3 linked regions of the Arabidopsis thaliana genome follow. The protein of the gene in region 1 interacts with the protein of each later gene in a pairwise test. Each region holds a gene or a part of one and is shown in the gene's direction. Other genes may lie near its edges.

Region 1 (3,751 bases):
TGTTCATAGCTAAATTGCTATTTGTTGGTTCTTGTAATCTTTACTTTTGCAGGTCACCTTGGTCAAATAAGTATCTTCCTCCGCTAGAGGATGCTCTTTACCCATCTTCTGAATTAAGAAAGCTTGAAGTTGAAGCCAACGATATCTTTGCGATCTATCGTGACCAGTGAGGTTCTTTACCTACCTCGTTCAACATGAAAACCATGTAGTGAAAGTAATTTGAGTTATCTAAGACGGAGACATAGTTAGCATCTGATCTGAAAAAAAGGCTTGCCTAGTCGTGAGATTTATCTCATGGTTTAACAATATATGATATGTGTTTCATTCTTCTAATGTATCCATTAGACTGGAGACTGAAAAAAGCTTGCAAAGTTACCAAAAGAACACCTGTGTTGATCAGTTTTCTTTTCCAGGTATTATGAAGGTGGTATATCTTCAGTCTACATGTGGGAGGATGATAATGAAGGCTTTGTGGCATGTTTCCTTATCAAGAAAGGTACATTCTTTCTGTAGAGTTCAATAACACTGAATGTTAGGCAATAAAAACTCTTTACCTGAGCTGTTCTGGTTTTTATTTTTCGAAGATGGGTCAAAGTCAGGTCATGGTCGGAGGGGATGCCTGGAGGAAGGAGCGTGGGATGCCATACATGTTATACAGGTGACTCTCTTAACATACCATTACCAAGCGTGCCTTATGTGTTTTAAAATGTTGCCCATTTTGTAACACATACCACCCTCAATTGCAACTTTATCATAGTTTCCTAAGCAGCTCTTTAATGAGACTTCATATTTTGCTTCTAATGCCTGAGGTTCTCAACTAGGTTGGTTCAGAGGAGGAGGAAATGGCACAATATTGCTTAACAAGTACCATCATGCTTTCTCTGACAACTGATGATGAGTCTTCGGGCAAATTCGGCTTATCTGGATCAATTAGAAGACAAGTAAGTATTAGCTTCTATTTAGCCCATGCCTTCATAGATAAATAGTTCCTGGTATGAATTGTGATTCAATGGAGGAAAACCAAATATCTGTAAAAGAATAACATTATTCTGCTACTGTTGAAATTAGATGAAAATGGAGCTAGCAGTAGCTGACGGACACCTGTGCAATATGGGGAGAATGATTGAAGAATTGGAAGGCAAACTGAGGAACTCACTTGATCAGGTTCTACCTCCAATCCCTGCACCAATTCCACAAACTCCGTCTACTTGTGTAACCGCCATATATGCTGAAAATGGTTTCTTAATTACCGGCATTCGGATTGCTTAGTTAGTTAAAGCTCATGCTACAGTTGTTCTGTGGTGCTTGGCAGACCCCAAAATAAGTAAACGAGAATTGTAGGATAAGTTTTAGATCAAATCACTTTCTAACATCTCATGAATTAATCTAGACCAAGAGAAAAGAATAACGTAATGTGCGTAGCTTCAAGGGTTTGAGAATTGTTTGGTGAAAAGCGCAGGTTTACTTTGGGAAGACAAGAGAAATGGTTTGCACATTGCGTCCACCAGCTGAGATTGTACAAATGAGATTGCCTGACACCTGACCTGATGCTCCTCCGATCACGCTTTATGTAAGAAGGTCTCGATATTTGTTTGTTTTGGTTGGTCTGATCTTAAACGCTTCTCCGAGTGTTTTGTGTGGATGTCTCTTACTCCCATGTTTTTCTCTGACTTCACCATCATGTGACCATCTTTTCCCATAAATATAACGAATGATGCAGTTTTAAAAGTCGTATAAATATTATGGAAATGCTTGGTTTTCTCCAAAAGTATAGAATAGCAGAATCAGTGGTGGCTGCGACATGTTGTGAACTTAGGACCTAAAGCATCAAACCTCATTTAGTGATATCGCACTGCCTTCGACATGCATACCGAATGGACAAAGAAAGTAAGAATCCTTGATGTAATCGCCATATGAGTCCGTTTAGCGCCTAGGTGCCATCTAGACGGTCAGTAACTAATAACAACCTAATCAATAACTATACAAATATTTTTGTCCAACATATAAAAAAAGATATTAAAATAAATTTCCTTTTAACCAAAATATCAGTTTCCTTTTTCGGCTTTCTTTTTTTTATTCTTGTTGTAGAGAGAGATATAAATAAATATCGACGACGACGGTACTAATCGTTTTGCTAAATAATTTCATTCGTCTTCTCTTCTTAACTCTTTAAAACCAAAAACTGAAAAATAAAGACAAAAAGTCTCCTATCGACGACGAATACGAAAGATCTCTCTCTTCAGAAGAATTTAACGAAACTCAACTGTTTCGAATTCGATTTGAATCTCGACCCGTTACTTAGCAGGAAGAAGATGAAGCAGCGCTTCACCTTCTTCTTCGTTATCTTCTCTTAATAATCCCCAATGGCTTCATCATCATCCCAACGACGCTGCGTTTTTGGTAACTCACTCTTCTTCTTCTTCTTCCATTATCACTCTGTGAATTCTCTTCGATTTTGGATTCAATTGGCTTAAAGTTTTCGACTTTCTTCGTCTATTTTAGTTGGGAACATTCCTTACGACGCGACCGAGGAACAACTTAGAGAAATTTGTGGAGAAGTTGGACCTGTTGTCTCGTTTAGGTCAGTTTTATCGTTCAATTATGATTTAGGGTTTTGATAAAGGAAACACTTTTCTTCAAACAAACGAAACACAGAAGCCTAAAAAACTTTGCTTTATTGGATTCAGATTAGTTACGGATAGAGAAACTGGTAAACCAAAAGGCTACGGATTTTGTGAGTATAAAGACGAAGAAACAGCATTAAGTGCTCGTCGTAATCTTCAGAGTTATGAAATCAATGGTCGTCAATTAAGAGTTGATTTTGCTGAGAATGACAAAGGCACTGACAAAACCCGTGATCAGGTTACTCCTCTCTCTCTTTCTTCTTTCAATGTTGGATGGTTTTTAACTGTTGTCAAGAAGTTATAACTAAAGATGGTAAATTTGGGTTTTCAGAGTCAAGGAGGACCTGGTTTGCCATCTACTACTACTGGTATGTTTTGTTTTCAGTCTCTGATACTTTACTGACTGCAATTGTGTTTGGATGAACACAAACTTATCGTTGTTCTTCTTTCTTTTGGCTGTTTAGTGACAGAGTCTCAAAAGCAGATTGGAGGGCCAGTAGATTCAAATATGCATCAGCCAGTTGGTCTCCACCTTGCTACAACAGCTGCATCTGTTATAGCGGGTGCGCTAGGTGGTCCTCAGGTCGGTTCGCAGTTTACGCAAAGTAATCTGCAGGTTCCAGCTAGTGATCCCCTGGCTCTTCATCTAGCCAAGATGTCAAGAAGTCAGCTTACTGAAATTATATCGTCCATTAAGGTGTGAATCTTGATATCGTTTTTTCTTTCTTTTTTTGGGTGCATTGTTATACTATTGGAAGCGAGTTGTGTGATGTGATTGTGTTCTCTCAATGTCAGTTAATGGCTACACAAAATAAGGAACATGCTAGACAGTTGTTGGTTTCAAGACCTCAGTTGCTAAAAGCTGTTTTCCTGGTACTCACTCATCCTCTTATTGTGCAAATCATTTTTCATTATTGACAAATATTTCTTATGATACTTACACCATATTTGAACCTTTACTTTGTCTACCCTTGTAGGCGCAGGTAATGCTTGGGATTGTGAGTCCGCAAGTGGTAAGTTTTCCATCTTATCGAACAGTTTTGTGCTACTTCCTTCTTTATCTATCTGTCATGTCTTAAGAGGACTATTGCCATTCTTGAATTGTGCAGTTACAGTCGCCAAATATT
Region 2 (3,751 bases), on another chromosome or scaffold:
CGCATCCCATCAGCTCCTGTTCGTTTTGCACGTTCTGACCCCGCTAGGTCAACCAAATGAAGCTTTGCACATAATATATCTTCACCTCCATCTTCAGTTGTTGTGCAAGAACCACCGGCAATCTTCTTTTGTTCCAGAGTGATTGTGAAGATTGCATGGGACCGACTAAAAAAGCAAGAAACAAACATTACATTAGTATACTTGTAAGAACTATAATTTCTTAATATTGGTCATAGAATATGATCTAATAATGAAATTTTATCTTGATGCAAAAGTACTCATAACTCTACTAGTGGATCAGCCACATTAGCTCTTTCAAGTATTGAAGTAGTTATAAAGAAAACGGAATGAAAACAGTGCATTTCAAATTACAAATTCACCTTGACTGGCTATTCATGTTTGTGCTGCCTGTAGCTCGAGACAAAGAGCCTCGTGCTAGAAACGAGCCCATCTCCTCTTTCGTCTTGACTTCAGCCTCAGTAACTCCAGCCAATGTTATTCCTCCACTGGCAGTTTCCCTGATTTGAATTGGAGCTCGTGAGAGAGCAGTGTGCTTTGCTTGAACGCCACTGTCATTTTTAAGGAGGGCCGAAGAATTTGAGTCCAGCAAATCAAAAACTTCTTCCTTAAAAATCTGCATTTAAAGGTAAAAATCAGCAAGTGAAATATACAAATCAAATCTCAAATAACAAACACAGAAGCTGTTTCTACCTCAATAAAAGACACTCGTATCAATAGTTCAGATGAATCTTTGGTTGTCTCCACTCTTCTAAATATATCCTCCATAACGTTTGGTATAACGCCACCATTTGTGCAATCTCCACTATAATTAGTACCCATGGTATAGGTTTTACCTGAACCAGTCTTCAATTACAACAAACAAACAATGAATTTGATGGATCAAACCAAAAAAAAAAACACGTAGCTAAAGGGAACTGCAGAGTTTAGAGAATTTAAAAACAAACCTGGCCATAAGCTAGAACAGTGGCATTGTATCCTTTAAACAATGCATCCACAAGTGGAGCAACACAGTGATTGTAAATCTCCGAACACGGATAGCCACCATTTCCGTAGACGAAATCATAAGTAAATGTATGCGAACCAATATGTACCTGTTTCAGTTCATAAGAAATTCCAACAAAATGAGTTTTATCAAAGTTCGAATCTTTAAACATATTTTCAGCAAAAAAAAAAAAACATTCACGCATCAATTGATTTCCCGAATTGAACCGAATCAGTTCTATGTGAAAACAAATCCCAAATGTTTCAAAATTCGAATCTTACAGCAAAACTATTAACTGATGAAGAATAAACGTTATTTCTCATTCGCGCATAAATTTGATTTCCCGAATTTAACCAATATATAATCCCACGAATCTTATCAAAACTGAAAAACTCTCAGAAGAAATAAACGCAGAAAAAACGAAAAACCCTTCCAATTGAATTACCTGTGGCTCTTTGGGAGCCACGGTGATGCAATCTGTGCATCCGTTCAAAAGCTCCGGTGTAATTAACGGACGGATGTTGACGGCAACCCTAACGCACTCTGTGCTCTCCATAACCGCCGAGCAGAAACCCAGAAAACCTCTGGTTACGGATCTAATCCAGAAACGAAACCTCAAATCAACACCACGAAAATGTAGATCCAATCCAGAAACGGAGGAGCTAGGGTAATTTTCGAGAAGAAAATTCTCAGGAAATGCGATTTTTGAGAATTCAAATTTTGAAGAGAGAGAGAGAAAGAGAGAAGGGGGACTTTTGTTTATTTTGAGAGGTCAACAATTAAAAAACAAGAAAGGCAAAACTTAAAACCATTATGGAAATTAAAATTATAAGCGCCGCTCAGGTACGAATTCAAATTTTCTTTGAGACCGTTACGCACGTGTCATGCACATGATCATCACTAAAATATCATAGGCCCATTATTTTATATTTCAGCCCATATTTTAATATCAAAGGCCCATTAGTTTATATTTCAGCCCATAGTTTTAAATATTGGCCCATGTTGATCTTTGTTTCTGAAGAGGAGGAGGAAGAAGACGATGGTTGACACTTGACAGAGTAAGCTCAGAAATGGCGACTCTGGTTTCGAATTGAACTTGTGAGGAAGGTTTTTAGGGTTATAAGGTGATAAAGAAAATGGGGAATAGTGGAGATTTGGAGCAGGCTCTGCAAGATGGGAATATCTTTAGACAGCTCAATGCTCTTATTGTAGCTCATCTCCGTCATCACAATCTCTCACAAGTATGTTTTTGCTATCGTTCTTCATCTCACTCAGATTCCAATTTTGTATCTTTACATACGCACGCCAATTTGGATTGGGATTTCTGGGTCTATCTATTTTTGGATTGTTTTTTGAAACTTTGAAATTCATTTATAGATGAAGTAAGTGCTAAAAGTTTGGATTTTTCATTACTGTTGAATGGTTAAAATTTTGATTTTTGAGATCAAATGTTTAGGTTGCAAGTGCGGTTGCTTCAGCAACAATGACACCATTGAATATTGAGGTTCCTCCAAACCGTCTTTTGGAGCTTGTTGCAAAGGTTATTGTTTTGCACCCTCTGAAGTTTCTGTATATTTTTTTGGAGTCTGTGAAGAAATGTTTTGGTTCTGAGATGAGAACAGGGTCTTGCAGCGGAGAACAATGGGACATTGAGAGGTGTTTCTTCATCAGTCTTGTTACCTTCTTCTTATGGATCAATCACTACTCCTCGAACAGCTTCTATCGACTTTAGGTGATGTCCCTTTCTGCAATAAGTTATGTTTCTTAAGAGATGAAATCAAAACTGCTTACCATCTAAAGAATGTTTGGAATTGTTCGAACTAGTGTTAATCATGCGAAGGGCTCATCAAAGACTATCCCAAAGCATGAATCAAAGACGCTATCAGAGCACAAGGTATATATATTTGCGTTGTTTATGTCTCAGTAGACACAACTTTGTCTAACCCTTAATAATGTTTTTCTCCAAGCTATTTTATTTTATTTTGGCTGATATGTTTATGAATTTTGTAGAGCGTTGTTAGGTGTGCAAGATTTAGTCCTGATGGAATGTTTTTTGCTACTGGTGGTGCAGACACATCTATTAAGCTCTTTGAGGTACCAAACTTTTGTCATATTCATTGTACCAACTTTTTTTCCTTCAAGCATCGTCAAGAGTTGATAGTTCTGTGGATATTCCGTGTTGTTTCTTTGAGGTGCCAAAAGTTAAACAGATGATTTCAGGAGATACTCAAGCTCGACCATTAATACGGACTTTTTATGATCATGCTGAAGTAAGCGTTTCTTTCTTCAAAATTTTTGCCGTTCTGATTTTGTGTATCTCTTAAACAGGCTCTTAAATTAGTGATAATCATTTGCAGCCGATAAACGATCTTGATTTCCACCCTCGGAGCACAATCCTAATATCTAGTGCCAAAGACAACTGTATAAAGTATATATTTACGTTTTCCCTACCTAAAATGAATTCTCTTGGTGATTACAAGAAAAGTTTGTGTTCAACTCGTTTTTGTGTCATTTCTTGTGACGTGGTAGGTTCTTCGACTTCTCCAAAACCACGGCTAAACGAGCATTCAAAGTTTTTCAGGTAGAGATCATGGTTGTTATATCAGTTTCTGTTTAGCTACATGTTGAAAACACTGTATCTCATCCAATCTTTAACTCCAAATTCTGCAGGATACCCATAACGTGCGCTCTATATCTTTTCATCCGTCAGGAGAGTTTCTTCTTGCAGGTGATTTTCTATTATAGTTT
Region 3 (3,751 bases), on another chromosome or scaffold:
TCTGATATATAACCAGTTCTGAATCTGAAAATCAACATTGTCGATTTTGGTAAAGATATTGAGTTTCATTTCTGTTGTTTTGATGCAGCCGCGCCTTTTTCGACAAGAGGCTCTCTCAGGAAGTTAGCGGAGATGCTCTAGGCGAGGTGAAATTTTTTCTCCTGGTTCAGTGTTTTTTTCTGATGTCTTGTGAGTTCAGTATACTTAACAGAATTGTGTGTGTTTTGAGCTATTTGCAGGAATTCAAGGGATACGTATTCAAGATCATGGGAGGATGTGACAAGCAAGGTTTCCCAATGAAACAAGGAGTTCTCACTCCAGGGCGTGTCCGTCTTTTGCTTCACCGAGGTACTAGATTCCACCCCATTGATAAAATTATACAGCTTCTCTTTTTTTCATTAATCTTCTGTGTTTTTTATTTATGTGATCTGGTTATTGTGTTTAGGTACTCCTTGTTTTAGAGGACACGGAAGGAGGACTGGAGAGAGGAGACGAAAGTCTGTCCGTGGTTGCATTGTGAGCCCTGACCTGTCTGTTCTTAACTTGGTCATTGTGAAGAAGGGTGTAAGTGATCTTCCCGGGCTTACCGACACTGAGAAGCCAAGAATGAGAGGTCCCAAGAGGGCATCAAAGATCCGCAAGTTGTTTAACCTTGGAAAAGAGGATGATGTGAGGAAGTACGTTAACACTTACCGCCGTACCTTCACAAACAAGAAGGGTAAGAAAATTAGATTCACTTAAAGAGATAATTGAAAACTGTTTATACGATTGATGATTTACTAATATATGAGGCTTCCATGTGCAGGCAAGAAGGTTAGCAAGGCTCCTAAGATCCAGAGGCTTGTGACTCCATTGACCCTCCAGAGGAAGAGAGCTAGAATTGCTGACAAGAAGAAGAGAATCGCCAAGGCTAACTCTGATGCAGCTGATTACCAGAAGCTTCTTGCCTCCAGACTAAAGGAGCAGCGTGATCGCCGTAGTGAAAGTTTGGCCAAGAAGAGGTCTAGACTCTCTTCTGCTCCTGCTAAACCCGTTGCTGCTTAAACTGCCTCAAGATTAAGAAATTTCTTTCTCTCTAGTTTGTTTCTGGTCGTATTTAAGTTGCTCCACAGACATGAGAACGCCATTTTGAACACTATTTTTGGTTTCTGTTTTGTGTCAACTTTTCAAGCCTTTTATTATATCAAAGTTTTGAACCTCTTAGTAGTACGTTTGTTATATTTAGTTCTTATTTATATGCCCGTTTGTTGATAGTAAATGACCAGATGTCTTCATTATTAGATAAACTGATGACCTACCTTTAAAGTGTTTTTTCCAAAAAGTGTAATGTTTTGAACCAAAACTCAATCTCGATTAAACTCTTTTAATATGGAGACCCGTCGCTGAAGACTGACTCCTTTCTTCAAGCTGGTGTTGATCGGAGACTATGGAGTCGGAGAATCGCTTCTACTGTCTCCTTATGCCATCTTCGCCGAAATCCTCTGTTTTACAACAGTGGTAAGTAAAAAACTAAAAAGGTTGGAAGAAGACGAAGAACTTTGCTTAACTGCAATTAAAATTTATTTATTTAACAAATGGCTGTAGATATGTTTTGGGGAAAAGTCATTCTTATCAATACCTTTGGAATAATTTGGATCAAACTGTATCATATTTTTGTGGATAATTTGTCTCTGATATAAATTAATCTGATCCATATTATGCAGTATTATTTCACAGACCTCTTAATTTGGTCCATAAATTTAATTTGATCCATGATATAATTTGATAAATTATTCACAAGCCTGTTTCTTCCATAATGTTTGGGGCCTATGATGGGCCGAATTGAATTTTGAAGAAAAATCAAAACCTTCAGATTCAGTTAGAGTGTTATGATAATGGGCTCTTGTAAGTTTGTAACCGAGGCCCAATACGAGACGACGTCGTTGTTTGCAATCGACCTATCTGGATCGGTAGGAAAAGTGTGCAAGTCGTTTTCATTCACCAAAGCGAAGCTTTATTCGTTTGCTTGAGCTCCGAAGAGTGGAAACAAAAATGGAGGAAGAAGAGCACGAGGTTTACGGTGGAGAAATCCCTGAAGTCGGCGATACGGATGTTCCCGATCCGGATATCGATATGTCTGCAGCCGATGAGGACGCCGTTACGGTCTACTTCTGCTTCGTTCGATTTTGATTTTGTTGTATATCGTGTGTATACATCTGTTTGATTTTTGGTGTTTTGATTTCATGGAATCAGGAGCTTGCTGAGATGAAGAGGAGATTAAAGGAGATGGAGGAAGAAGCTGCTGCGCTACGAGAGATGCAAGCAAAAGTCGAAAAAGAAATGGGAGCTACTCAAGGTTTTGTGACTCTTTCGTTTTTTTTTTGAATTCGTTTGCTCGAGACTATCTTTGAATTTGATATACTAGGAGGAATCTGTTGATTGTGTAGATTACTTTTAGGAAATTGAACTTCTGTTTCTTGCTTAACAATTTGTTTCAGATCCTGCTAGTATGGCTGCAAATCAAGAAGGAAAGGAGGAGGTGGATGCTCGATCAGTTTATGTTGGCAATGTAAGATAGCTTATTTTCTACTTCATGGTATCTCTTCTGTGCTTGAATCATTGTTTCATCTAAACGGCTTTGATCTGTTTGCCAATCTTAGTGTGGATTAGCTTAGGCTGACTATTTTGTTAACTTAAATTTCATCTTTGATAAAAGAACTGCTTGCAATTGTGTCTTAGCTTTGTTCTTTATCCCTTGAGATTACTGTTAGAATCTGTATCAAGAGGCTTTCTCTAAATTTAATGTTGTGAAGTAGGTTCTTTATTGTTTCTAGTTGAAGAGTTTGACCTCTATGTCCTATATAATCGCAGGGTTGTTCTCATAAATGAAGTTCTTAATAGCTCTGGGTTCTCAACTAAGTTTTGTGACTGTTTTGCTAGTTTCCTTGTTGTAGTGTTAAAATCATTCTTCCCGTGCAATTTGATGATAAAAAAGCTATAAAAAAAATGTTGAAAGTAAAAAGAAAAGAGAAGGAAAAAAATTTGAAAAAAAAAAAAAAAGATATAGCAGAAAAATGTGGAGAAAAATATTGCATGAGCTTGAAAAAAAAAAGAAGGATTTCTTGAGAGGAAAAAGGGAGTCTGAGTGAGTTGGGTGGGATTAGAAAGCAAGGTTTCTGTTATCCTTGAGGAGATGGTCTCTGAACTCTGAAGAGCTGGATCAAGATGCCAAGATGCTGGATGCTTTCTAAACAAGACCCAAAGCTCCGCAGGGAGGATACTTGGAGCTAATACAGGTTTGGTTGTTTGCGGATTTCGCGAGAGGCTGCAGTTTGATGCTGGCCTTTTATCATGTATTTTTGAACTCACGCTCATAAAATGAAGACTTTCATAGCGTTTATGTACCATACATAACTTAGGTCTAATGTTAGACATGGAAAATTGCTTTAGAACACACAAGTTTGTCTCTTGGCTTCCCTTAGTGGGGTGGTTAACTTATCTATCTGTTACGTTCTCAGTAAGTCATGGTTTTAGTTGTAATAAGAATGCTTGTGTTGTACTAAGACCTCATTATCCACCCTGCAGGTCGACTATGCCTGTACACCTGAAGAAGTGCAACTACATTTCCAAACATGCGGAACAGTCAACCGGGTAACCATTCTAATGGACAAGTTTGGACAGCCAAAGGGATTTGCTTATGTGGAGTTTGTAGAAGTGGAAGCCGTGCAAGAAGCTCTGCAGCTGAATGAATCAGAGCTTCATGGTCGTCAAC

What was found.
Region 2: the proteins of CSTF64 (region 1) and AT5G60940 interact in a two-hybrid assay, tested with the Arabidopsis thaliana proteins (one study listed by BioGRID).
Region 3: the proteins of CSTF64 (region 1) and AT5G10350 interact in a two-hybrid assay, tested with the Arabidopsis thaliana proteins (one study listed by BioGRID).

Annotation. Positions count from the first base shown.
Region 1 is NC_003070.9:26,997,243-27,000,993, forward strand, and holds the start of CSTF64 (cleavage stimulating factor 64), read left to right. Parts: upstream 1-2,131; 5' UTR 2,132-2,363; coding exon 2,364-2,400; intron 2,401-2,502; coding exon 2,503-2,581; intron 2,582-2,687; coding exon 2,688-2,862; intron 2,863-2,955; coding exon 2,956-2,992; intron 2,993-3,088; coding exon 3,089-3,321; intron 3,322-3,419; coding exon 3,420-3,497; intron 3,498-3,601; coding exon 3,602-3,637; intron 3,638-3,733; coding exon 3,734-3,751. Other genes in the region: CPB (Subunits of heterodimeric actin filament capping protein Capz superfamily), read left to right, coding at 53-166, 414-496, 585-658, 822-941, 1,069-1,164, 1,460-1,543.
Region 2 is NC_003076.8:24,520,953-24,524,703, forward strand, and holds the start of AT5G60940 (Transducin/WD40 repeat-like superfamily protein), read left to right. Parts: upstream 1-2,000; 5' UTR 2,001-2,139; coding exon 2,140-2,244; intron 2,245-2,459; coding exon 2,460-2,543; intron 2,544-2,625; coding exon 2,626-2,735; exon of another isoform or gene 2,736-2,804; coding exon of another isoform or gene 2,805-2,827; coding exon 2,828-2,897; intron 2,898-3,013; coding exon 3,014-3,097; intron 3,098-3,195; coding exon 3,196-3,273; intron 3,274-3,360; coding exon 3,361-3,431; intron 3,432-3,532; coding exon 3,533-3,584; intron 3,585-3,673; coding exon 3,674-3,731; intron 3,732-3,751. Other genes in the region: AT5G60930 (P-loop containing nucleoside triphosphate hydrolases superfamily protein), read right to left, coding at 1-165, 381-634, 712-864, 966-1,112, 1,449-1,559. UniProt on the Arabidopsis thaliana protein: One of the multiple factors required for polyadenylation and 3'-end cleavage of pre-mRNAs. May be responsible for the interaction of CSTF with other factors to form a stable complex on the pre-mRNA.
Region 3 is NC_003076.8:3,256,027-3,259,777, reverse strand, and holds the start of AT5G10350 (RNA-binding (RRM/RBD/RNP motifs) family protein), read left to right. Parts: upstream 1-1,966; 5' UTR 1,967-2,031; coding exon 2,032-2,142; intron 2,143-2,232; coding exon 2,233-2,335; intron 2,336-2,477; coding exon 2,478-2,548; exon of another isoform or gene 2,549-3,564; coding exon 3,565-3,751. Other genes in the region: EMB3010 (Ribosomal protein S6e), read left to right, coding at 89-146, 240-348, 446-718, 806-1,044. UniProt on the Arabidopsis thaliana protein: Involved in the 3'-end formation of mRNA precursors (pre-mRNA) by the addition of a poly(A) tail of 200-250 nt to the upstream cleavage product.